Xenopus tropicalis: one gene and its partners. The protein of the gene in region 4 purifies or fractionates together with the protein of the main gene of each other region. This does not show direct contact. Links are inferred from orthologs where the notes say so. Each region holds a gene or a part of one and is shown on either strand. Other genes may lie near its edges.

Region 1 (4,025 bases), on a different chromosome or scaffold from region 4:
GCGACCATTTTATTGCTGTTGCATCAGTGTAGTACATTGCCGCTACTTCCTGAAGGGTCGAAGGTAATGCAACATAAGGCCCAAAGTGTGCCCAGTTGTAGCAACCCATAGCAACCAATGATTGTATTTGGTGCCCATTATACAAGACCTGCTTGATTTAGGTGTTTATACCTGCCCCTTAAACTACATACCCCTCAAGGGGTTCTGCCACAAGGTACCTGGTCCATTTTATTGGAAACAGCGCTGATAATAGCCTGGTCCCGGAAGTGCTGGTGGAACCGCTCCGTGTTGACTTGCCAGTAGACGCCATCATCTTGGCTATCCTGGGCAGGGAGACCAAGGAGGAAAGGGTAAGTTACAGGCAAGACAAGAATGCAGGGCCATATTGGGGTGAACGATGAACACCCACCTCTGCTTCCTTTTTTGGTCTCTTGGCCTGACTGCCTCCATCGTCATCATCAGATGATCTGCGGCGTTTGCCCCTGCCTAGAGCAACAATAGGCACAGCATAACAAGGGGTATCCAGTAGCACCCCTTCCTACATTGTATACACCTCCGGGCAGTATCGGAGAGCGGCTGCCCCACAAGGGCACTTACCTGTCATATTTAGCTTAGGGACGATGTACATTTCCTTCTCATTCATCTGCAGGGTTGGGGCAAGTGGTGGGCGGCCCTCCGTGGCATCCTTCTCCTGCACAGTCGGGCACCGCTGCACAAAGTGTGTATCTGCCAGGTGGGTAAAGGTGGCAGAAACCTCACTGTACTCCATGCTCTTGCTGTCTGCGCAGGGAGAACACAATACACAGGGCTTAGCTAATGGGCTTAAAGCATTGAGCAGGTTCCTATTATTCCTCTACAGTACACATTCTTTGCGGTACAGTTCCCAGTTATGCGACTAGATTGTAAGCTCTTTCTGACAGCTTCAGACTTTCCCCCTATAGAACTAGACTGCAAGCTTCTAGGGGCTGAATAAATATTAACCAATTTACCAATAGATCTTATGCTATGTGGGACAGGGTGTGCCATTATATAACTAGACTGTAAGCTTCTTTGGACAGCCAAAGGGCTTTCCATTATATCACTAGACTTTAGCCCCAGTGGCTAGATTGCAAGCTCTTTATGTTAGTCACAGGGGCTCCCATTCTACCAATAGACTGTAAGCTTCTAGGGGCTGAATATTTCCTTATACCAATAGATGCTCGGGTATTTGGGATAGGGTGTGCCATTATATAACTAGACTGTAAGCTTCTTCAGACAGTCAAAGGGCTTTCCATTATATCACTAGACTTTAGCCCCAGTGGCTAGATTGCAAGCTTTTGATGTCCATCACAAGAGTTCCCAATCTACCAATAGACTGTAAGCTCCTAGGGGCTGAATATTTCCTTATACCAATAGATGTTAGGCTATGTGGGACAGGGTGTTCCATTATATAGCTAGACTGTAAGCTTCTTGGGACAGTCAAAGGGCTTTCCATTATATTTCTAGACTTTAGCCCCAGTGGTTAGATTGTAAGCTTTTTATGTCCATCACAAGGGTTCCCATTCTACCACTAGACTGTAAGCTCCTGGGAGATGAATATTTCCTTATACCAATAGATATTAGTCTATGTGGGACAGAGTGTGCCATTTTATAACTAGACTGTAAGCTTCTTTGGACCGCCAGAGGGCTTTCCTTTATATCACTAGACTTTAGCCCTAGTGGCTAGATTGCAAGCTCTTTAGGTTAGTCACAGGGGCTCCCATTCTACCACTAGACTAGACTGTCAGCTCCTTGGGGCTGGGTCCCCTATGCACACCCCTAGATTTCTGACACTCACAATATAAACCAGGGCAGCTGACAGCCAGAAGGGATGATCAGGTTGCTGGGCTGCCTATCCCAGAAGGTTGCCACAGGGCTACCCCAAGGCGGCAGTCATTACCTTCCATGGTCTCGGTCAGTCTGTCGGCCACTTTCTTTACTGCGGCGCTTAGTGTCATTTTGCCATTGAGCAGCAGCTCCTCCACAATCAGCTCCCCCGTGTCCCCGTACAAGGTCTTTGCCGTGTAGATGTAGCGCGGGTAGCGCAGTATGCGCAGGAAGCGGTCGACGTGGGCCTTGTACTCGACAAAGCCGCGTTTGTTCAGCTGGTAGGTCACCAGGTTGTGCTGTATCAGGACACAAAGGGCTTTCTTCACCTGTCGGAGGAAAAAACAGTCCATCAAGGGACGGGGACTAGTTGGGGGCAGTGCCCAGGGAGCGAGAGGGTTAAACTTGCCTGATCCAATGACGTCCCTGTCTCGTTGGCGATCACTCTCAGCGGCTGGTTGCCCGTCCGTATCAGAAAGGTCCCCACTCGGTCCACAATCTCCCCGTAATGTTCCTGCAGCAGCAGGGAGCACAGCTTGCTCTCAACCGCACTCATCTCCCGGCACCGGCTGAAACAGAGGGATAGTTATAGTTGTACTACACCCTATAATGCACTATCACTGCTGCTATCCCACTGCCAGACATATACATGACTATAAGCTTATGTCCCAACAGGGGCTGAGGCCCCTCATCTGCCCAATGAGGCCCAGGCAGTAGGGAAGCAATTGTCTGAGCCGTCAGAACTAAGGCACCATCATAAGTTATGGCTGAACTACAACTCTCAGCTCCCACAATCCTCTGCCAGCGCCTCCATGCAGCCCTAGAGTGAAACTCACACCAGAATTCTACCAACAGCACTCACATGGCTTCCGCTTCCTGTCAGCTGACACCGTCCGAACGTCACCTTGGTTACCACATAGCAACTTCCGGTATTAGTAACCCCCCCCCGTTCTTCTCTTGAACCTCCTTTTGGGCTGAGGGGGCAGTGGAGGAGGCTGATTGGAAGACTCGCTGGTGCTGGCAGGGGATAGAGCGCCGTGCGGGGTCACTCTTGCCTCACAAGCCCCGATATTGGGAGGGGTTGATTGGAAGACTCGCTGGTGCTGGCAGGGGATAGAGCGCCGTGCGGGGTCACTCTTGCCTCACAAGCCCCGATATTGGGAGGGGTTGATTGGAAGACTCGCTGGTGTTGGAGGGGATAGAGCGCCGCCGTACGATAGGAGACGTTCGTGTAGGCGAGTCGGCGGTGCTGGGAGGACTGACGTGACGCGGTTCCCAGCAGCAGCAGCCGGAGCTGGGGGAGAGCGGGTAGGGATCATGGCGGAGGCGGCAGCGGTGTCTCAGCATCGGTTCTTCTGCCATCACTGTAAGGGGGAGGTCAACCCCAAGCTGCCGGTGAGTCCCTGCGGGGGAGTGCGGGGCCCAATTGGGGGGTGTGTGGGGGAGGCATATGGGGGGCCGGGGGGGGGGCTGCTGGGCTGAGGGGAACGAAATGGGCCGGGGTGGGGTATGGTGGCGGGGAGGGGAATGTTGGGGGCCGGGGGGGGGGGGGGGGGAGTGCAATGTAAACAGTGGTTGGATGTGTGGCCCGGGGGGAGTGGGGAACAGAGTGGGGGGTACGTGCGGGGGCACTGGGGTGAGAGGGGGGGGTAGAGGGGCTTGGGGTCCCGGGGGGGGGCAGGGTTAGGGAATGTGGGGGACAGGTTAGATGTTTGGGGGGGGAGTAATTGGGTTAATGGGGGATGTAGGGAGGCCGAAGGGAGGGGTGCGGGGAGAATCTAGGGGACAGGGGAGGGGTACTGGGGTGGGAGGAAAGTATAGGGGGGGCTTGGGGTGGGATGGAAATGTAGGGGGGTGGGAGGGGAATGTAGGGGGGCTTGGGGGTGGGAGGGGAATGTAGGGGGGCTTGGGGGTGGGAGGGGAATGTAGGGGGGCTTGGGGGCGGGAGGGAAATGTAGGGGGCTTGGGGGCGGGAGGGAAATGTAGGGGGCCTGGGGGCGGGAGGGAAATGTAGGGGGGCCTGGGGGCGGGAGGGAAATGTAGGGGGGCCTGGGGGCGGGAGGGAAATGTAGGGGGGCCTGGGGGCGGGAGGGAAATGTAGGGGGGCCTGGGGGCGGGAGGGAAATGTAGGGGGGCCTGGGGGCGGGAGGGAAATGTAGGGGGGTGGGAGGGAAATGTAG
Region 2 (4,158 bases), on a different chromosome or scaffold from region 4:
GCAATTAGCCAAGCAATTTCTTCATAAGATGGCCATACAGAGAAATACACTTGCACAGATTGTCAATTATCAGCCAAATAGCCTGACCATAGCTACACATATTGAGGATGAATGGGAGGCAAGCTGCTCTGTTATGCCAATGGATCGAGCAATATTCAATGAGAAGTATAATAAGAAATTGTTGCATAACATACATATAAATGTATATATTGATGGTGTTCCTTAATTTTGGTGTGTGCTGCCCCACTGGTTTCTGTGCAGCTTTTAAGTATACATATAAACTTCACAATCATTTCATACGGGAAGGAGTGCAATAACATGTTCAAAATACAATATCCACATAAAGGTTACCAGTGAGTTAAAAATACAGGTTTATCTTACCATGAAAGGGCCAAGCAGATTGCTAAGCAGAGTAAGCACAGCAATGTCCTGGGATCTGGGCAAAGCAATTTATGTCCACCCATGGGAGACCCAGCCTTGACTTTTCCTTGAAGCTCATTCTGCAACTGGTGTCCTGATGTCTGGCTACTGCCAGGAGTATTTTTTAACTCCCTAGGGCCCTTCTTTCTCTGCTTCACTTCAATAGACATTGTCACATTAACCTGTTAATCACCATAGAAATAAAGTCTTACATTTATATGTAAGAAAGATGCAGAAAGCTAAGCTATAATGCACAACTATACATTTTTCTTATTAGACCCATGCACTAAATAGGATACAAAATTAGGCGGCGGCGGCTGCAATCACAACTCAAGGAGGGTTTAGTAGAAATATTTCTAAACTTTCAAGTATTTGTCTGCAGCTAAAGCCAGCCCCTCCCTGTGTATGTGGCAACAGTGCCGACTTGCACATCCAATCATCCTCAGCAGCTGGGGGACAGGGAGAGACCCTGCCTACGGGAGCCTGCAAGGGCAAACCTCAGGGGCTTCTCGTTGTGCCTATCCCCACACGGTCTATCTCACAACGTACTTTATGTTTTTCCAGCCAATGATATTTAATAAATTGTTTGGACCACATTACTCTCTTTTTAGTGCTTGTCAGTGTATATAGTTTCTAGAAACTTGCTTTCTTGGTGACCTGGAATGAAGTAATATTCCGCTTTGCGGTCCAGGGCACAATGTGTGGCGTACTTTGCTATTCATACATACGCTTCAGCATTCTGTTATTTCAAATAATAGTTATATATGTTGTAAGAAAAAAAAAATTATACCTTGCCCACTTTCGCAATGGCCGCCACACCCTTATGTTTCTAGGGATTATGTGCGTGAGGTAATGAAGAAAAGGGGAACGCTGCGCGTAAAGAAATTTTTCCCTGCCGGACGGGTTTAGGTGCTGCACTGTTTCTCATGTGTGCTGGTGGATGGTCGTATAGGCATGGAGGTGTTGGATGTGGAGTTTGGTCATCTGAGTCAGGAGGAGCTCATTGCTCCCGTTGATACAGTGCAGGTGAGACAAGCTTCGGACTGCTTAATTCCCGTTACCTCCCTCTGCTGTGACTCCCGAATAAATGTAGCTGAAGCTAGCAGTAGAAGTGAGTTCAACAACGTTGTTTCAGGAGTCAGAACCAGGGGTGCAAAAGGGGCAGACAAATACAGCTTCCAACCTCTATTGCATTTACAACAATTTTTTGGGTAGACATTCTTAGAATTCCATGCTGCAGCCTTGGTGTTCCTTTGGAGTTCAGGGACAAGATTTGGGGCTGGGGTGGTGCATTATTCATACCATCCAGAGATACATTTATAATGAGCATTTCCCATATCCTGTGGCATTGTGTGTCACTTATGTGAGGCTAATGATATGTCACAGGTGATGAACCAGTCTCTTGCCATCTACCCATTTTATTAAGAATTGGCAGTCATGGCATTTGCCTGTCAGTGCAAACACCTGCTTCTTTTCAGACCAAAAATGCCACATATGACATAAGCCTGGGGTACCAATAGCAGTATTGGGGAGCTCAACTCTCTGTTAACTTACCCAAATGGGTACCCGGTGCAAATACTGGAAGAACCTCACCTTGCATGGGGGGTCAATATCCAAAAGCAAAAAAATCCAGTAGCACACTGAAGTTGCAAGCCGTGAAAAAAGTTGAAGTTGTAGCCTGGGGTACGACTGGGGCACTATGTCCGTTGCATGTCTCCTTCAATCCAGGCATTGGCTGAGGAGTAGTTTATCTGCCAGACAATATGCATATGGCTAGCTATAACATGCACAACCATATAACTGCAGCCATTTTGCCAGGTTAAAGGGGTGGTTCATCTTTAAGTTATCGCCTTTTACTACCTCCTTTCAGCATTCAAATGAGGGTCACTGACCCCAGCAGTATTGTTTTGGGAGCCTACAATTATATTGTTATGGTTACTTTTATTTTATTAAGTGTCTCTCCTATACTTATTTCAGTCTGTCACTCAAACCTCTGGTAGCTAGGAAAAATAAGATCTAGCAACCAGATACAGATAAAGGTTGAAATAACAAACTTGAAAGCTGCTGAACATAAATAAGTAAAATGCCATAAAAATGAATATAAGCATGATGAAAATTGGTTTTATTTTCCCTTTAAAAACCAGCCAACAAAAAGGGCAACAATCACCATAAAATTGTCCTCCGCTAGAGGTGCCTGCACTCTTGTTGGGGAAACAATTCTCTTTTTTTTTTTTTTTTATGTCCCCTGTGAGAGTTAGGCTGCCTGTACCAGGAGATGTGTGTGTCAGTTGTGGCTCTCTTCTGGTGCAATTTAAAACTATTTTAAAGGCTCCGTTAGCCCACAACTCTAGTGGGGGAAACAATTTTAGGGTGACGGGTGTTGGCAAATTTTAAATATCCTATTTGCAAACTGACCTGAAAATTTATTTGTTTTGCAGGAAAAATGGAAACTGCTTCCAGCCTTCCTAAAGGTATGCTTTAAATATATATTTATATTTAGGTTAACAGTTCATAGAGATAATTACTAACCTCAGACTCATTAAAAATGCTCTTCTAAGCTGAAAAATCACTGGGCCAGAGTAGTATTCTGACGAACACTGAGCCACCATCTTTGCGCCCTATCCCAGTGCCCTAGCAGCTGATCTGTGCATGCGTAGTTGAGTAAATGTTTTTCTTTTACCATCTATGTCAATTTTGGCCTAGGGCAGCCATTTAGGATTTCTGGCATAGCAGGCAAGATAGCAGTTTGGTGAAACTCACTAGAATATTACCCTGGGCCAGGGTCAAACCTTCACCCAGTAAATAACCTTTTCCTTCTTCTTTAAAGTAGCTGAAGGTTTAACATTGAATTCGCTGAATGATTCTGCCACAAAACACTACTCTTTGCATGCCAAAGTGAGCAGTCCAAAGACTGCTGCAGTCAGAGCAGTCCAAAGATTGCTGCAGTCAGTGTTTTCTCTTGAAGATGTAATCCATCTCGCTCTCATCTAATGCTTAGTTTGGCATTGGGCATCATTAAATTGGAGGTGTCAATTGGAGTTTTGTCCTGTGAAAAGGATCAGGTCTTCTCACTGCATTAAATGATCCAAATGTTAAAGGAACAGTAACACCAAAAAATACAAACGTAATTAAAATGTTAGGTACTGTTGCCCTGCACTGGTAAAAGTTTTATGTTTGCTTTAGAAAGACTACTATAGTTTATATAATAAGCTGCAGTGTAGGCAAGGGGGCAGCCATTCAAGGTTACATGGTACATTCTCTACTTGGAGTAAGGTTCTCTGAGGCGTCTCTCAGGGTTCTGTACTGGGTACTGCACTTGGCAAATCCATAATGGAGAAGGACCTTGGAGTCCTTGTAGATATTGAACTTGGCTGTAGCAAGCAATGCCAGGGAGCAGCTGCAAGGGCAAACAAGGTTTTGACCTGTATTAAAAGGGCCATAGATTCGCAGGAGGAGGAGGATATACTTCCCCTTTACAGATCGCTGCTAAGGCCCCATCTAGAATATGCTGTGCAGTTTTGGTCTCCAGTGCTGAAACGTAATATTATTGAGTTATAGGGGGCAACTAAAGGGTATGGAAAGTCTCGGTAATGAAGCAAGACTGGCCAAGTTAGGGTTCTTTATACTGGAGAAGAGGCGCTTAAGGGGTTATATGATAACTATGTATAAATATATAAGGGGATCATAATAATAAGCTCTCTAATGCTTTATCAGTAGGTCCTTCTAACTGACACAAGG
Region 3 (3,500 bases), on a different chromosome or scaffold from region 4:
CGCACACCCCACTTTGCAGTTATTTATTTGTAAAAAATGTTTGGAATCATGTATGATTTTCGTTCCACTTCTCACGTGTACACCACTTTCTATTGGTCTTTCACGTGGAATTCCAATAAAATTGATTCATGTTTGTGGCTGTTATGTGCCAAAATGTGGAAAAGTTCAATACTTTTGCAAGCCACTGTATGGCTTAGGAGTTTGAGGATCTCTGGTCTAGGCAAGACCAGTGGAAAGGTCATTTGTAGCAGTTTTGCACAAGTCATGAAGAACTCAACATGCACCCAACACTAATACCCACAAAACCATAACAAGCACTTGACTTCTCCTAGTTCCAACACAGGGAATCTTAGGGAGCAAAGGAGTCTTATAATTCCCTAGTCTGACCCAAACCCAACTCACACCTGCAATAGTAGGCCAAATCTGAACCCAAACCAGCCTTAACCATCCTATAGGTGTGTCAAACGCACATACTAATGTGAAGCTTTCCTGTGGTTACCATTAGGCAAAATCTTTCCTTTGCTAAACGATGTGCAGAAAAAACTAACAGCCTTGCCCCATTGGCCTAAAAATTGAATATGACAGAGAGAAAAGAAACACCTACTTTTCCTCTTCAACATCTGGAGGCATCAGCATTGACAGATAATCCCTGTGTAAGAAAATACAAAGATTTTTGCACAATGATATTATACACTACATACACATTGTAACCTTACCACACATACTCCACACAGTGCAGTGTAATGTGCAAGTTAGGTGTGAATGGGGGAGAGTGAAATCTGTTGCATTGCAAGGACTGGGAAAAAAAAGCATGTATTTTCTTATTAATTTAGGCTTAGAATTTGGACAGAATGTTGTACTTTTTAAACAGTTATTTAATTTGTAAAAAGAAAATGCAAAAATATCTATGGCAAGGTGGAGGATAAGCATGACACAAATAAGGAATACTTCCATAACAGCCTGGCATTTGAATTTTCAGCAAACTGGCTTATTAGACCCAAGGCATTCTTTGCTATAGCTCTAATACTAGCGCATGTAGGTCAGAGCAACCACTCAATGTGAAATCCCTATTTGAAGAAGCTTTGACATTTTAAAAATATGTACTAGGGATGCACCGAATCCACCGCCCCGGAAGAACCGAATCCTAATTAGCATAAATGTGCATATGCTAATTAGCATTCGGAAAGGGTTAAAATTTGGGGGGGGGTTTAGCCGCGCATGGCAACTTTCAACCCTTCACAATCCTAATTAACATATGCTAATTAGGATTCGGGATTCGGCAGAACCCAAAAAAGTGGGTTTGGTGCATCCCTAATGTACAGGTAGGGGATCCCTTATCCGGAAACCGGAGCCCTGCACTTGCTGAGCTCTCATTTATACTGTATCTTCACAGCACCAAAATGTTAACATATCCAAGTTTGAGGACATTGTATTTAGGGCTCAATTAACAAAGAAGTGACACATTATATAATTTATAAATCCATGTTCAGTCTAATAGTAGTTTAGGTTACAAGCAGAATGTGATAGGGCCTACCTACAAAACTTGTAATAGGCTATGAGCAGCTGTAGTAAATACAACTACAAGTGCACTTTGGTTACCGTCACCCTCAGAGTAATCACTGGATCAGAACAGTGCCACAACAGTTCCCCATGCTTCTCATATACAAGGCACGCTCCTTGACTCTCTCCCCCCCCCCCCCGCGGGTGACCCTGATGGCCCACTGATACCCCTTTCTCAGCATGGGTTGGGGCAGTGAGAGGCGCTGCAGCGGTTATGTGCCTGGGCGATAGATCAACAGGATTGTGGGAGTGCACACAGTATGTGACTGTTCCGACTGCTGGCGGATGACGGGCAAGTCACCCAACCCAATCAAATACTGCACAATGTGAGGAAACTGAGTGACATAGGCACACCTGTCGCTGAATCACCGTGACCTTAAGTCCTGTCTGGGCAGCAGAGACATGCAGCGCTGGACATAATGCGCCGTATATACTCGATTATAAGCCCATTTTTGGGGGCTGAAAAACTCGGCTTATACTCGAGTATATACGGTAATCCTTATTGGAGGCAAAACAAGCCTATTGGGTTTGGTCAATATTTAAATGATTTTTAGCAGACTTAAGTTATGAAGATCCAAATTACGGAAAGATCCTTTATCCTGAAAACCCCAGATTCTGAGCATTCTGGGTAACAGGTCCCATACCTGTATATATTGTATTATACACAGGTATATATACAGGTACAGGTGAAGTGATCTAGACCAGGACTGGCATCTTTATCGTCAGTAAACTATTTACTAGTCCATATAGCTAAGTAGCTTTCACAGTAATTGATCAATTATATTTACTTTTACAATACCCTAGTGAGGCACACAGTGAAAGAAGTTCTCAAATTTAATCACTGTATGTGTTTATACAACTCTTATCTATATTAAAAAAACTTAAAAACCACATTGGAAAGTTACATTTGAAACAAAACATTAACCAACACATACTAGGCATAGCACTGATAAAAACTGTACACGTGAACATGCTTGGAAAAGCTTTACCTTGGGGATTTAGTGAGTTCCATATTGTCTGCCACGCTGGTATTCTGGCAAAGCAAATACTGACGCTCGTGTTCTGAGCGACTGTCCTGGAGGGGAAGAAATGAAGTACCATCACTGGCTTTCCTTTAATAAAGTGAATCTTTAGTATTAACTGATGAGGCTATTTCAATATAGGTAGCCTGGGCAAAGAAGGAGGTCAATTCTGGCACTAAGAATAGCCAACTGAAGGTCCATTAACCAACTGTGCAGGCAGCGGTGGATAAGAAATCCTCTGATAAGGGATTGTACCTGTAGCTCTAGTATAGCAACTACAGTACAATTTAAGATGAGGATTGTCAACATATGCAATTAAATTACAGAATCCACAGAGATTAGGGAAGTGAGATTTGTAATTCAGCGACAACTCAAACATAGTAAGACAGGCGAGCACCAGTTTATAAATTATGCAGTTCCAAGTTTGTTTTGCTGCTGGCCCTGCAAAATTAAAAGGAGATTTGGCTGCAAACACTGACAACAGCCTACTACATTTTCTCGACAAAAATTGTTTGCCTCAGGTCCTCCCCAGAAAACAGTCAGTTTTTTACATTTAAAGGAGAAGGAAAGGCTAAGTCACTTGGGGGTGCCAAAATGTTAGGCACCCCCAAGTGACTTTAACCGCTTACCTTGTACCCCGGGCTGGTGCCCCTGTTAGGAGAAAACAGCACCAGCCCGAGGCACCTGCAGTGAGCCTTCCTCCTTCCGTCTTCGCGCTGCCGGGGAAATCCGTGGGCCAGCGCATGCGCAGTAGTGAAAAGCCGACTTCTATGTTTAAGTTCGGCCAACATTTTGGCACCCCCAAGTGACTTAACCTTTCCTTCTCCTTTAAGAAAGCCCAACATTTTGACTGAAGATTATTGCAGAACACTATATCCAGCTGTTTTATAGGTTCAATTAATATCTGGTTTACCTTTA
Region 4 (2,135 bases):
AGAGGAACACTCATTCGCTTACACCCTGGGCGGTGCAGTTTTCTGCTAACAGGAGTACTGGCTGGGGGTTTCTGTTAAGCTAACATTTTGACACCCCCCAGTGATGATGGTGATTTTGGTGATACTATAATACTATGATTATAGGTTATGTAGCACCGCAGTGCTTTACAGAAATTGTGCTTCAGTCACATCAGTTCCTGCTCAGTGGAGCTTACAGTCTAATTTTATCAGAAACCAATTAGTCTCCCTGTATATTTTTTGAGTATAGGAAGAAACCAGAATACCCAGAGAAAACCCACGCAAGCATGTGGGGAACATGTGGACTCCTTGTTTGACTGCAATTTAACATAGGATCCCAGAGCAGCAAAGCAACAGTGTACTGGAATATAGTATAGAAAAAGCTTGTTTTGGTTATAACATAACAAAATAAGATTTCTGTATATATAATATAGCAATATCATTCTCTGGCTACACTATAGTATAGTGAAATCATGTGTGCATTGCACCACTTAAAAGGAGAACAAAAACCCACGTTTTATTGATTCAAGTGCTCTGCTGCTGAGCGTTTAAGTACAGAACACTGGAGTGTTAATGGTTTGTAGTGTCATGGCAGTTTGCTCTCCTTTTGACTGCCAAAGAGCTCTATTAAGTGACTGACAATGGTCGTTTAAGTAATCCTGACAGGTCACACTTCATTTTGGCATGGAGCAGAATAGGACTGTGTAGCAGTGAGTAACCTTCTTTTATTTTCTCAATGAAATTAAGAAGTGCCGGTTTCAGAATTCAGCGCAAACTATGGCTTTAGCTTGTCTTTGAAAGTTGATTTCTTTTTGACCACCTATTTGCTATTGTTGCTCCTGTTCTCAGGTTATGTGAATAAGTCCTTTTATAAAACATTTAGAGAGAGCCTCACTTAGTTCCTACCACCCTCACTCAGTTTTTGTCCTCCTTCTTTAATACAGGATGTGTGCCCCTGTCATGGTGGAGCTTGAAGGAGAAACGGACCCCCTACTTATTGCCATGAAGGAACTTAAGTAAGTTTTTCTCATCTGCCAGAGAATATGTAACTGTCTAACCTCCACCTGACAGAGGCCAGTTGGGTATGCTAAACACGGTTTGCATGAATCTTTGTTTGCAATTTTGAAATACTTTTCAATTTTCATAGTATCTAGCTTTGGTTTATGTTCAGGAACTTCCAATATTGAGAAAATTGAGGTATGACTTAAAACCAACACCAAAAACCCATATTATTATGGAAATGGATATATATTTGCAAATTCTAACTGGCCTCTTTCAAGGCCAGTTTGTGACTGCAAATTCTGAGTTACAACTACTGGGATTCTTTGCAAGCTAACATATAATTGAGGATGCTTGTATATTCTAGTGATCTTCTAAAGTTTCTTTCTGTTCCCACAGAGCCAGAAAGATCCCTATAATCATACGACGTTACCTTCCAGACGGCAGTTATGAGGACTGGGGGGTGGATGAACTCATCATTACCGACTAAGACCTGTCGTCAGTCCTTGACTTTCCAAGCCTGAAATCTTTGACACCAGTTTTATTCTCTTTTGTCTTGTTGTACATAATTGTTTTTTATGTAAATGCTTTATTTAATAAAAACACAAAAGACCCTCACACACAGCTATCTGTTTGCTGATAAATATCTGCTGAAGAAAGAGAGAGCAGGCTAAAAGGAAGGGTTACTTTTTGTAGCAGAGACTGCCTTTAGATAGTAACAAAACTGACAGCCTATAGGCCATTTAGTGACTAGAAAACTTGGGCGACAGGATGAATTCTAAGCTCCATGCAAGGAGAATAGCATGCACCTGTTTGCTTCCAAAAATGTTCAAAACCTCCCCCACCATCTACCTGTTTTTTTTTGGTAGAACAGAGGAGCCATTGTATGCCCATGTCTCTGCACTTGTTGCTATGGAAATGCCCATGGAGGGGACACCTTTCTCAGGAGTATCAAAAACCAGGATGAATCCCACTCTTTGTTTGGCCAAATATGCGCTCGGCTGCTTCTACGTTCCTGCCACACCTGGGGAACAAGCTAGCACTGATCCAGGTGCTACATTACTGATGGCCACTGCCGCTAAATATTCCTCACACTGATATTTCAGCTCAACAGCGCA
Region 5 (4,180 bases), on a different chromosome or scaffold from region 4:
GGGAGTCAGTACCCACTGCCTTTCTTGCTATAAAACTAACATAAACACATCTAAAGGGGTGGTTCACTTTTAAGTTAACCTTTAGTATGTTATAAAATGGCCTATTCCTAGCAACTTTGCAATTGGTCTTTCTAATTAATTTTTTTGAATAATTTGCCTTTCTCTTCTGCCTCTATACAGATTTCAAATGGGGGCCAAAAAATATTGCTCTGTGAGGCTACAATTTTATTATTATTATAATTTTGTATTACTTATTTTTCTAAGTAGGCCCCTTAACTATTCATATTCCCATCTCTTGTTTAAACCACTACCTGGTTGCTAGGGTAAATAAGACCCTAGCAACCAGATAGCTGCTGAAATACCAAATGGAGAGCTGCTGAACAAAAAGCTAAATAACTGAAAAACCATTAAAAATAAAAGTGAATTGAATGCGAACTACCCCTTTAAGCTAACTGATCACAAACACAAATGTTTGCAGATCCCGCGTGCGCGTATGAATACTTTTACATCCTAAACATTTTAGGGTAAAAAAAAAAAAGCACCCCCACCCGCACTTTTGTACAGTATCCCTGGTAGTCAGTGGGAACGGCAAGAGGTAGTTGGGAGGTTAACTTTTTACGCCAGCAGCGAATCCACTAAGTGTCACATTAGCTGTAGGTCGGACTGTGTATGGGCCATCTTTAGCCTCCCCTAGTATCATCCTGCAAAAAAAAAATATATATTTTTAAATATATATATATATATATATTTGTCTGTTGCAGGATGATGCTAGCTTACTTGCCCCCCCTTGGAAAATTTTCTGCGGACGCCCATGTTTGTAAGGATTATATGGTAGGGGGAAAAATTTTTTGCTGCGCACGCTGCAATTTTTCCCCCTTTCTCTTCCTAATTAGCATATTTCGGGTTTGGGATTCCTAGATTATAATCACTTACCTATGACTGGCTTGGGGTATTATCCTTATTAGCGCCATGCAGTCATCTTATTGCTGTTCTCTGAATCTTTGCAGTGGCCCTACTCTGTGTTTAAGTGCAAGAGAAGCCTACCTGTCATTTCACATTGAATTACACATTTTACTATGCTGCACATAGGCACAGGACAGGCCTCACAAGAATAGTACACAGGGCCAGTGTATTTTAAGTGAAAATAATAATGATGATTATAATAACTGTATGAGGGGTTTGCACCTCCCTCCATTGACTACCCATTTCCTTTTTTAAAGGAAGAGAACAGTTTTTTCAAGTTTTATAAACACACCAGTATTTTTAATATGAACACAGTTACTAACCATACAATAGTGTTACACGCACATATATCATTAAAAATTGTATAAAGAAACCACTTACCAGCCCATTGGTCCCATAGTTTCAGCTCGGATCTTGCCACGTTTTGCTTCTTTGAGAAGCTCTTCTACAGCTTTCCTGCATCGGCATAAAAGAGCAAGAAATTAGCATTAACAATATCGGCTGTACAGCCCAACATATATAAGTATTGCTACATAAATAAAAATCTACACACATGTTTTGGGGGGAAAGTTCTTTTACACCAATTTAAAGAGGACAAAAAATGTATCAAACGCATGAAATAAGGCCTATTAACATTATTAAACATTAGTATACTTTACGTTTTTTTTTTAAAAATTCCATTATTTCAACAAATCTGCCTCCAACTAGCAGTCTCTTCTTTTGGTCTCCAGGCAAGTACACTGAATATGTATTAATATGGCAACGGCACCAAAAACTGCATGACCAAACTGCTTTTATTGGTTTACTATTTTATTATAAGTGGGCTGAGAGTGTTCTAAGCAAAATCTATGGGACCTACAAATCCTGAACCATGCACAGTGCTTCCCAGAGACATGTAAATGTGCACAATCCTAATTCCATCTATGGCTGCTTGGTATTATACCAACCCAGCCGGTCAAAATAATGCTTGATGTCAATGTTATTAATAGGGAAGAAAGATAATTACATAGAAAGGCCAGTATTTTTTTTTTTTTTTACAAAAAAGTGAAAACCAAAATCACATCTCTAATTGCTGCTTTATTGATGTAGTTTAACTTTAACTCCCACTGCAACAACCAACCCTGGAAGCTGTAATTCCACAATACAAAAAGGGCTATTGGTTGCCTTTCAGTGATATACATGAACCACAGTCTGGCCAGCTGGCTTTCAGTACCAGTAAGAGCTCTCTATAGCCTACGGATCAACACTATGGGGCAGATTTACTAATCCACGAACGGTCCGAAGGCATCCGCATGCGTTTTTTTCGCAATGATCGGTATTTTTGCGACTTTTTCGTATATTTTCTGCAACTTTTTCGTCGCCGTCGCGAAAAAATCGGATTGGTTTTTCCGCCGTTTACAATCGCTCAATACGAAAAAATTGCAACGGCGACGAAATAGTTGCGCAAAATACGATAATGTCGTGTCGGCGACGAAAAAGTCGCGACAAATACGAAAAAGTTGCGGCGGCGACGAAAAGACGGCAAAATTTTCTTTCCAATCTGAATTTTTGCCATTCCGGTTTCGGATTCGTGGATTAGTAAATCTCCCCCTATGTATTCCTAACAAGGACCCAAAAGTAACTGCACCCAATCAGTCCCCACTTCCCCAGCAACAGCTGTCCCATAACAATTCATGTATATATTATTATTTATCCTTCACCCACTACCCAAGCAGTCTCTGCACTATAAAGCGTTCACTGGGGTAAAACATAGACAGCTCACAAGCAGCAGCATGCAATTTTATTTCTATTTCGCATATACTTCGTACCGTTCCAATTCGTCTTCCTGCATTTCTGCTCTGCAGCAAAGGAACCCGGAAATACACTGGCGAGATGGCAACAACGCCAAGCAGCGCAGCGACTTCCGGAATGGGCGGGGCCAGAGGCGTCACTGAGCTGCGGAGTGCCTCCCTAGTGCTGAAGGGAATATATATATATATAGTTTTGGGCAGCGCTGTGAGATCACATGGATAGTAAAATATTGATTAACACTACGACGACTGTCATCAATGGTTAAAAAAAGTTGTGGAATGATTGTGCTAAGTTTACCCAAACTCTGGCGCAAAACCATAGGGGGTTTTGGGGGGGGCAAGTTGGAGAACACAGCAAAGTGGTTCTAGTGTAGGGATACCCTAACTTTTTTACCTGTTAGTAACTTTAAAATGAGTTGGGGAACAAAACAAACTTGAAAAACCTCAGAGATTGTGCCAAATACTGGCGTATTGAGAAAACAATTTCCACTCTGCATTCCTCCCTGTCACTAATGCCTGTAGGTTGGCAGCGCGGTTAAAGGAACAGTAACGCCAAAAATGAAAGTGTATTAAAGTATTTAAAATATAATGTACTGTTGCCCTGCACAGGTAAAGTTGTGTGTTTGCTACAGTAACTCTACTATAATTTATATATAATAAGCTGCTGTGTAGCCATGGGGGCAGCCATTCAACCTTGAAAAAGGAGAAAAGGCACAGGTTACATAGCAGATAACAGATAAGCTCTGTAGAATATAATGGGGTTTTATCTGTTATCTGCTATGTGCCTGTGCCTTTTCTCCTTTGAATGGCTGCCCCCATGGCTACACAGCACCTTTGTTTATATAAACTATAGACTTTCTGAGGCAAACACACCAGCTGTACCAGTGCAGGGCAACAGTTCATTATATTGTAATTATTTTTATACACTTTCATTTTTTGCCTCCAAGCCAGGAATTCAAAAATAAGTGCCTGCATTAAGGCCTCAGGGAGTAACATTAAATGGGATCACTGTGCTAGTCCCTTACTTGCTACACAGGAATGGTGTTTCTCTTTTTCAAAAAGTGCAGCAGCCCAGGCAGTCGGACTGGCCCCCCAGGATACCAGGAAAACTCCCGGTGGGCCCAGGTGTCGGTGGGCCCTCCTGCTCCTGACCATTTGGCCTGCTTCATGGCCATTCCCTATTTCTGAATGGGAACAGAGAGGAGAAATAGTGTAAATAAAAAAGACTAGGAGAATAAAGAGGGTGGGTGAGAAAAAATAGTTCGGAGAGTGGGCCTATAGTCTAAGGCAGGGATCCCCAACCTTTTTTACTTGTGAGCCACACTCCGATGAAGTGGATTAAAATGATGCCTCTGTATTTTCAAAACTAGTCTCTATGCTACAAATGTAATAACAGGCACCTACTTTGAGGCCACTGGGAGCAACAT
Region 6 (3,500 bases), on a different chromosome or scaffold from region 4:
CCAGGTCCTTAGCTCAGGGAAGCCGACAGGCTATCATAACAAAGTAAAAATAGATGATGAGCACTAAAAGTTAAACCCAGTGTTGGATGACCACAAGTATCTGGACATCTACCTGTCCACTGTCTCTGTTAATTAAAACAAAACAAAACAGAAGGGCACCAAAGCACAAATCTATGTAGAAGACATACCAATTCAAGAAAGCAGTCTGGGTGCTACTGACCTTTAGCTCAGGGAAGCAGAAAGACCATAACAAAGCAAAAATAGGTGATGGGTAATCCAATTTATCCACAAAGGGCACAAAATAGTAGTCAAAATCTCTGTTTATAACATTATCTCTACAACCTTACACATATTGTGCCCAAAAACACACTTAATCATAGTTCCACATTATTTTAATGAAACCAAAAGTATAGTCCATCTTACCTGAAGAAACACAGGTATTTGGCCAGTTGCAGCCAAGAAAAGCAGATGTGGCAATGGGTCGCTGCCTTGCTGGGTTCCTTTTCCTTACTTGCCACCTCCCCTTGCTCCTGGATGAGTTTACTTCTGAGTTTATGACGACCACATTTTTGGTCTGATGATAAAGCTTCCAGTTTTATAGTGAGAAGTGGGTCCAAGTGGGTAGAAATACAAGTCTGTGGGTTTGGTGGAATAGCCCTTTGAGATCTTTAGCCAAGGGTATTAATATGAATATGTTATCTGTTATACCAACCCATATTCTTCTGGGAAGCCTTTTTACTGGATGGTGGAACATTGTTGGATTGCTATACACTACATGAAGGAAGTCATGAGATATATACAAAAACAAAATATACAACAACATATACAAAATGTCAGGTGATGTTGATATCTCTTATACCCAGGCTAGGTTATTCTACTGTTTCTTGGGCATAGCACAAGATGGCTGGAAAAGGCAGAGGTAGCGGTCGGGGCCAACTGACCTTTAATGTAGAAGCTGTTGGAATTACCAGAGGGGAAGCACTGCCGCCACCCACTCTCCAACCTCCCCCGTTGTTCCCGGTAAGTTAAGCTCTATACAGCTTTGGTATTAAAGGAAAAGTAACACTAAAAATTTTTAAGTAAAAAAATCTATTCTACCCTGCTCCAATAATTGCCCTATCCTGCACACCGTTTATTATTTTGAATGCTTTATTAGAAAATACCTGCTAAAACCTGGCTTCCGGTCATTTGAAATAAGGCGATGCAGAAGCAGAATTGATCGATCACAGCCTGACTCCTTTGATCGATCCTTGCCTGACTCCTTCCTATACAGAAGGAAGGCTAGGATTGATCGTCGCGTAGTGGATTCTGCTTCTACATCGCCGTATCGCCTTATTTCAAATGACCGGAAGCCGGGTTTTAGCAGAAATTTTCTAATAAAGCATTCAAAATAATAAATGGTGTGCAGGATAGGGCAATTATTGGAGCAGGGTAGAATAGATTTTTTACTTACTTTCCTTTAAAGTGTACATGCTATGTATAGAAATGTACCAAAATAGGCATGAGTGGGGAACATATTGTAACTAAACCACAACTCCCCATATTTTTGACTGCTGATATGTGTTATTGGAGTCAGCAGACTGAATTTCAGCAAGAAGCAGTGAACTACAGGCTCCTGATCCATATCTTAGCATTTTAGTATCTGTTTTCCCTGTCTGCCCATTGTGCACTGCCTTCTATTGCTTTCTGACTTTTTGCCTGTTGGGTGGCAGGATCAGGGTCTGCATTTTTCATTACAGTGCCCAGTTGCCCACCCCTGTGCCTGCCATCCACCTGTTTGCTACTATGGGCCCTTTACAAGTGAGATACATGTGGCCTTCCCTAAGGTATAATGGCCTTTTAGTTATACTGTTATGTTTATAGAATATACATAGGCTTATTTTTCATTTGTCATGGGTTTAAATGCTACTTACCTGGATAGTATTAGGTCTTTATTCATTTTTTTGTACTAATAGGTTTTATTATTTTTTCCTTACTTTCCTAACTTTTTTCACTTGAAAGAAAACCCAGCCATGCTGTGTGTCAGTAGTGCATTGCATACTCATGCTGGAATCAGACTGGACTTTACCTGTCAGTGACTGACAGTAGGGTGTGTTGTTTACAGCTGGGAAACATGTTAGGTTGCGGAACTCAAAAGAAATTCATGCAGCAACTCTATGTACAACAGTTTTGTTAAACATTCCCTGCAGTTTCTTTTTAAAGGACAAGGAATGGTTAAATTACTGGGGGGGGGGGGGCACTCCCTTCAGTGATTATAATGACTTACCTGATACTCTGGGCCGGTGGTCCATTTAGTATAAAACTGCTCTGCCCTGGGGTACTCTGAGCAAGCACCACAGAACAATCCTCTTCTTTCACTTCTTCATTCCTCAATCACCCAGGGTGCATGTGTGCATGTGTGTGAAAAAGCAAACTTGGCTTTTCACTTTACTGAAGTGAAGAAGAAACAAGATGTAGATAATGCAGTGGTGCTAGGTCTGAAGTACCCCAGGCTGCTGCAGTTTTCTGCTAACAGGAGCACCAGCGTGGGGTATCAGGTAAGTAATTATAATTACTGGGGGGTGCCTAACATTTGGCACCCCCTCTGTGATTTCATCTTTTCTTCTCCATTAAGAGCTATACACTGTGTATATCATCCTACTCTCTTTGTTGTTTTGTTCAGAACCTGGAATACAAACCAGTACCCCTGCAGACAGGGGAGGAGGTGGAATATATGCTGGCGTTGAAACAAGAACTCCGAGGAGCCATGAAGACTCTCCCGTACTTCATCAAGCCCGCTGCTCCCAAGAAAGGTGTGTTTAGCTTGGCTCTATTTGGTTGCCCTAAAAAGCACTATATCATTTATTGTTGCAAGGGCAAGTAAAGCAATAGAATCATATGGGCGTGTGGTTTTTAATGCAAATGCCTGATTTTTTACCAGCCCCCCATGCAGTTTTACTTAATCTCCCCGGTCTACTTCTCATGCATGTCTGTGACTCCCCAGGCACACTACCCCCAGTTATGTTATGTGCATGCCCATGTCGTCTCGCTCACTCTGGGAACTTGCACCCTAGGTTGCTTCACTTCACAGTTGCTCCCCATTGGTTAAGGTGAGGAGTTGGCGTAAACTGGCAGCACTTGAAAGCTGAACATGCTATCCTTAAACATGTAGGAAAATAGAAGGGTAAACAAGAACATGGCTAGCAATACATTTACATTAACTAACAATACAGTAAAATACCTTTGGTTCAGCAGCCCTATAACTGCAATGATCCATGCTTTCGAATTTGTATACAGCAACCTCCCATTCTTGGGGTCTTGTTAGGCCATCTTTTGAGTGTCAGTGGCACTGCACATGCTCAGTGTGCTGTTGGATACTGTAAAGAAGGAAACCTCAGGGGTCGTTGGAAATTATGCTGCAAAAATAAGGTTACATTTGTCATAGCTGATGCTACATGGCTGAATGCAGTGCAGAATGCACAGGTTTTTATGACACGGTCACTTTATGGTAATTTAAAGCA
Region 7 (4,104 bases), on a different chromosome or scaffold from region 4:
ATCCCTTATCCCACTGCTACTATGGGCACCATCTCTCCCTACTATACCTGCTATCCTACAGTCACAGTCCCTTCCCAGAGGCTATTATCCCCCCACTGCTACTATAGGCACCATCTCTCCCTACTATACCTGCTATCCTACAGGCACAGTCCCTTCCCAGAGGCTATTATCCCCCCACTGCTACTATAGGCACCATCTCTCCCTACTATACCTGCTATCCCACAGCCACAGTCCCTTCCCAGAGGCTATTATCCCCCTGCTACTATAGGCACCATCTCTCCCTACTATACCTGCTATCCCACAGCCACAGTCCCTTCCCAGAGGCTATTATCCCCCCACTGCTACTATAGGCACCATCTCTCCCTACTATACCTGCTATCCCACAGCCACAGTCCCTTCCCAAAGGGTATTATCCCCCACTGCTACTATAGGCACCATCTCTCCCTACTATACCTGCTATCCCACAGCCACAGTCCCTTCCCAGAGGCTATTATCCCCCCACTGCTACTATAGGCACCATCTCTCCCTACTATACCTGCTATCCCACAGCCACAGTCCCTTCCCAGAGGCTATTATCCCCCACTGCTACTATAGGCACCATCTCTCCCTACTATACCTGCTATCCCACCGCCACAATCCCTTCCCAGAGGCTATTATCCCCCCACTGCTACTATAGGTACCATCTCCCCCTACTATACCTGCTATCCCACAGCCACAGTCCCTTCCCAGAGGCTATTATCCCCCCACTGCTACTATAGGTACCATCTCCCCCTACTATACCTGCTATCCCACAGCCACAGTCCCTTCCCTACCTACTATATTCAATATATCACAGACTCTTCCCAGAGGCTACTATTTACACTACTTTGCAAAAGCTGAACATGCCCTTTGACAGCATTTTGACGAAGACAACTATGTCAAATTTAGAAAGATTAGTAGTTAAACTGGCAAAAAGTAATTTACTCCAACTTTTTAAAAGAAAATAAAAACAGTGTGGCATAAAAAGAAAAACATTTGATATTTAGACAAATGCCAAATTTATCTTCTCTGAACAGACATATTGTATAATATTTATTTTCTGGGCTCCAGCAGTTGCACCTCACTGATGGTGGCTGTGTAATGCATGATTAGAGCTAACTGCTGATAGTTGCCAGTACATTAGTTTTGTGTTCCCCTTTAAGAACACATAATGATCAATGTACAGCGCCTTTCCACTGAAAGGGCTGTGCTTCATGTTGTGTTTAGTAAGCCTGAACACTAACAAAGGGAAGCTCTACCCTATATAGTTTTACTGCTGAGCAGAACCTAATTAGTTTAGAATCAGTTACACTGCCTGATGCTCGTTAGGACTTGCTGACAAGCACTGCCCCCACTGGCTTATCCCTACTGCACCAGGATTTACTTGTGAATGTCATTGTAACGCAGATTTGGTGAATCAGCCGAGTTCTATGTTTGATTCATCAGCGAGAAATTATATCAGACTGAAGGTAAAATGATTCGCTTAAGTATATGAATTTAATATCATGTCTATAATTCTATTAATCTATGAAAACACCCAAATGTAAGATGTGTTAAAGCACAGATATAAGCACATTTTAGGCCATTATAAAATCAGTTACAGTTGGATCAATGATATTTAGCAGCATTGGCACAGATTGGCATATTGGGGCTTGCATTTATTGACTTCTACTGAAGCTGAATGTTGAAATGTTTTTGAATGTATTATTTAATAATGAGTTAAGCTTGTTTGCCTAAAGTGGGCCTATGAAAATAAATGCCTTTTAATATTTTATTGTTCAACTTGGGGTCCTTCAGCTGCTGGAAGCTGCAACTCTTAGTGCTCTTAGCTGGGTGTGGTTGGGGCATGACAGGGAATGCTTTAGGGCAGGACATAGAGAGCTTCTAGTCCTCATCATGTCCTTTGTAGAAGTACAAATAACAATCATTAAAAATGTATATTCTTATATACATTCTTAGTTTTTACATTTACAGTGTTGCCTGTGGCCCTTCTAGTTTTGTTCAACTAGAACATTCAATGTCAGCTGATGACTTTCAGGTGATTATAGCAGCTGTACCTGGGGGCCTATTTAGTGTGCTGAGTAAAATGGCAAATGTCACCATCTGAAAGCCAGACTTTATGCCATTATTCTATGCAAGCTACGTAATTACATTGTTTTTTACACAGCGAAGCCTCGCAATGAATGACGAATTTTGCTGCCATTTTTGCACAGCATAATAAGTAGGCATCTTAGTGTGCTGTAATTGGTGCAAACCCCAGCAGGTGTAATTCATTGCTATCAATTATTTTAATGAGAATGTTGTAAGAATACACCTGAGCTTCACTAAAAAAAGTATATAATTTTAAAGGGAAAGCTATGTTGATGAACAAAAGCTGGAGGGCTGCAATTTGGGCATACCTAATTTTTATAGGGTCATAGCGCCTTAACACAGTGAGGTGAAACATCTCAAAAAAAATGGTACGGCCGACCCATCAAATCAAATGGTACGGTCTGACCCCCCCTCAAATCAAATGGTACGGTCCGCCCCCTCCAAAAAATGGTACGGTCCAACCCCCCCCTCGAAACAAATGGTACGGTCCAACCCCCCTCCAAAAAATGGTACGGTCTGATCCCCCCTTCAAAAAAATAGCATGGTACGGCCTGATCCCCCGTCGGAAAAAAGTGGTACGGTCCGACACCCTCTCCAAAAAAATGGTACGGTCCGATCTCCCCCCCAAAAAAATGGTACGGTCCGACCCCCCCCTTCAAATAAAATGGTGCGGGCTGACCCCCCTCCAAAAAAATGGTACGGTCCAACCAAAATTTTTTGGAATGGGGGTCGGACTGTACCATTTTTTGGAGGGGGGCGGGGTTGGACGTACCATTTTTTTGAGAGGGAGGGATGGACCGTGACATTTTTGGAGGGGGGGTCGGACCATACCAATTTTAAGAGCGGGGGAGGTCGGACCGTACCATTTTATTTTGGAGGGGTAGGACCGTACCATTTTTTAGAGGGGATGGGGACGGACCGTACCATTTTCAAGAGCGGGGGGGTCGGACCGTACCATTTTTTAGAGCGGGGAGTCGGGCCATACCATTTTTAGAGGGGGAGGGGACCGTACCAATTTTTTTCGAGTGGGGGGGGATGGACGTACCAGTCGGACCGTACCATTTTTAAGAGCGGGGGTCGGACCGCACCAATTTTTATGGGGGGATAGGACCGTACCATTTTATTTTGGGTGGGGGGGGGAGTCGGACCGTACCATTTTTTGAGTGGGGGGGATGGACCGTACCATTTTTAAGAGCGGGGGGGGTTTCGGTCCGTACCATTTTTTTCGAGTGGGGGGATGAACGTACCATTTTTAAGAGTGGGGGGTCGGACCGTACCATTTTTAAGAGTGGGGGGGGGGGTTCGGACTGTACCATTTTTTGAGTGGGAGGGGGGTCGGACCGTACCATTTTTAAGAGCGGGGGGGTGATGGACCGTACCATTTTTAAGAGCGGGGGGGGTCGGACCGTACCATGTTTAAGAGCGGGGGGGTTCGGACTGTACCATTTTTTGAGTGGGGGGGGGGATGGACCGTACCATTTTTAAGAGCGGGGGGGTCGGACCGTACCATTTTTAAGAGCGGGGGGGGGGGTTCGGACTGTACCATTTTTAAGAGCGGGGGGGTCGGACCGTACCATTTTTTGAGGGGGGGGGTGGACCGTACCATTTTTAAAAGCGGGGGGGGGGGGGTCGGACCGTACCATTTTTTGAGTGGGGGGGGGGATGGACCGTACCATTTTTGAGTGGGGGGGGGATGGACCGTACCATTTTTAAGAGCGGGGGGGGGTTCGGACCGTACCATTTTTTGAGTGGGGGGGGATGACCGTACCATTTTTAAGAGCGGGGGGGGGTTCGGACCGTACCATTTTTTGAGTGAGGGGGATGGACCGTACCATTTTTAAGAGCGGGGGTGGTTCGGACTGTACCATTTTTGAGTGGGGGGGGGTGGACCGTACCATTTTTAAGAGCGGGGGGGTCGGACCGTACCATTTTTAAGAGCGGGGGGGTTCGGACTGTACCATTTTTAAGAGCGGGGGGGGTCGGACCGTACCATTT

Evidence for each region.
Region 1: the proteins of polr2f (region 4) and polr3c purify together in Homo sapiens (affinity purification with mass spectrometry; 3 studies listed by BioGRID and IntAct, with this or other methods). This does not show direct contact. The link is inferred for Xenopus tropicalis from reciprocal best matches to the Homo sapiens genes POLR2F and POLR3C.
Region 2: the proteins of polr2f (region 4) and polr3b purify together in Homo sapiens (affinity purification with mass spectrometry; 5 studies listed by BioGRID and IntAct, with this or other methods). This does not show direct contact. The link is inferred for Xenopus tropicalis from reciprocal best matches to the Homo sapiens genes POLR2F and POLR3B.
Region 3: the proteins of polr2f (region 4) and polr3e purify together in Homo sapiens (affinity purification with mass spectrometry; 4 studies listed by BioGRID and IntAct, with this or other methods). This does not show direct contact. The link is inferred for Xenopus tropicalis from reciprocal best matches to the Homo sapiens genes POLR2F and POLR3E.
Region 5: the proteins of polr2f (region 4) and uncharacterized protein LOC496835 purify together in Homo sapiens (affinity purification with mass spectrometry; 4 studies listed by BioGRID and IntAct, with this or other methods). This does not show direct contact. The link is inferred for Xenopus tropicalis from reciprocal best matches to the Homo sapiens genes POLR2F and POLR1D.
Region 6: the proteins of polr2f (region 4) and polr3gl purify together in Homo sapiens (affinity purification with mass spectrometry; 3 studies listed by BioGRID and IntAct, with this or other methods). This does not show direct contact. The link is inferred for Xenopus tropicalis from reciprocal best matches to the Homo sapiens genes POLR2F and POLR3GL.
Region 7: the proteins of polr2f (region 4) and polr3g purify together in Homo sapiens (affinity purification with mass spectrometry; 3 studies listed by BioGRID and IntAct, with this or other methods). This does not show direct contact. The link is inferred for Xenopus tropicalis from reciprocal best matches to the Homo sapiens genes POLR2F and POLR3G.

The regions. Positions count from the first base shown.
Region 1 is NC_030684.2:141,779,087-141,783,111, reverse strand, and holds the start of polr3c (DNA-directed RNA polymerase III subunit RPC3), read right to left. Parts: upstream 2,801-4,025; 5' UTR 2,708-2,800; exon of another isoform or gene 2,682-2,707; intron 2,415-2,681; 5' UTR 2,402-2,414; coding exon 2,255-2,401; intron 2,175-2,254; coding exon 1,919-2,174; intron 781-1,918; coding exon 598-780; intron 487-597; coding exon 410-486; intron 324-409; coding exon 219-323; intron 1-218. Other genes in the region: E3 ubiquitin-protein ligase RNF115, read left to right, coding at 3,163-3,240. UniProt on the Homo sapiens protein: DNA-dependent RNA polymerase catalyzes the transcription of DNA into RNA using the four ribonucleoside triphosphates as substrates.
Region 2 is NC_030679.2:16,002,789-16,006,946, reverse strand, and holds the start of polr3b (DNA-directed RNA polymerase III subunit RPC2), read left to right. Parts: upstream 1-1,358; 5' UTR 1,359-1,374; coding exon 1,375-1,446; intron 1,447-2,858; coding exon 2,859-2,891; intron 2,892-4,158. UniProt on the Homo sapiens protein: Catalytic core component of RNA polymerase III (Pol III), a DNA-dependent RNA polymerase which synthesizes small non-coding RNAs using the four ribonucleoside triphosphates as substrates.
Region 3 is NC_030685.2:25,097,252-25,100,751, reverse strand, and holds part of polr3e (RNA polymerase III polypeptide E), read right to left. Parts: coding exon 3,496-3,500; intron 2,636-3,495; coding exon 2,550-2,635; intron 650-2,549; coding exon 605-649; intron 1-604. UniProt on the Homo sapiens protein: DNA-dependent RNA polymerase catalyzes the transcription of DNA into RNA using the four ribonucleoside triphosphates as substrates.
Region 4 is NC_030680.2:122,156,929-122,159,063, forward strand, and holds the end of polr2f (DNA-directed RNA polymerases I, II, and III subunit RPABC2), read left to right. Parts: intron 1-962; coding exon 963-1,034; intron 1,035-1,416; coding exon 1,417-1,507; 3' UTR 1,508-1,635; downstream 1,636-2,135. UniProt on the Homo sapiens protein: DNA-dependent RNA polymerase catalyzes the transcription of DNA into RNA using the four ribonucleoside triphosphates as substrates.
Region 5 is NC_030678.2:155,277,705-155,281,884, forward strand, and holds the start of uncharacterized protein LOC496835, read right to left. Parts: upstream 2,801-4,180; 5' UTR 2,795-2,800; coding exon 2,772-2,794; intron 1,420-2,771; coding exon 1,345-1,419; intron 1-1,344.
Region 6 is NC_030684.2:128,432,717-128,436,216, forward strand, and holds part of polr3gl (DNA-directed RNA polymerase III subunit RPC7-like), read left to right. Parts: intron 1-863; 5' UTR 864-900; coding exon 901-1,020; intron 1,021-2,662; coding exon 2,663-2,792; intron 2,793-3,500. UniProt on the Homo sapiens protein: DNA-dependent RNA polymerase catalyzes the transcription of DNA into RNA using the four ribonucleoside triphosphates as substrates. Specific peripheric component of RNA polymerase III which synthesizes small RNAs, such as 5S rRNA and tRNAs.
Region 7 is NC_030677.2:178,954,538-178,958,641, reverse strand, and holds the start of polr3g (DNA-directed RNA polymerase III subunit RPC7), read left to right. Parts: upstream 1-1,304; 5' UTR 1,305-1,487; intron 1,488-4,104. UniProt on the Homo sapiens protein: DNA-dependent RNA polymerase catalyzes the transcription of DNA into RNA using the four ribonucleoside triphosphates as substrates.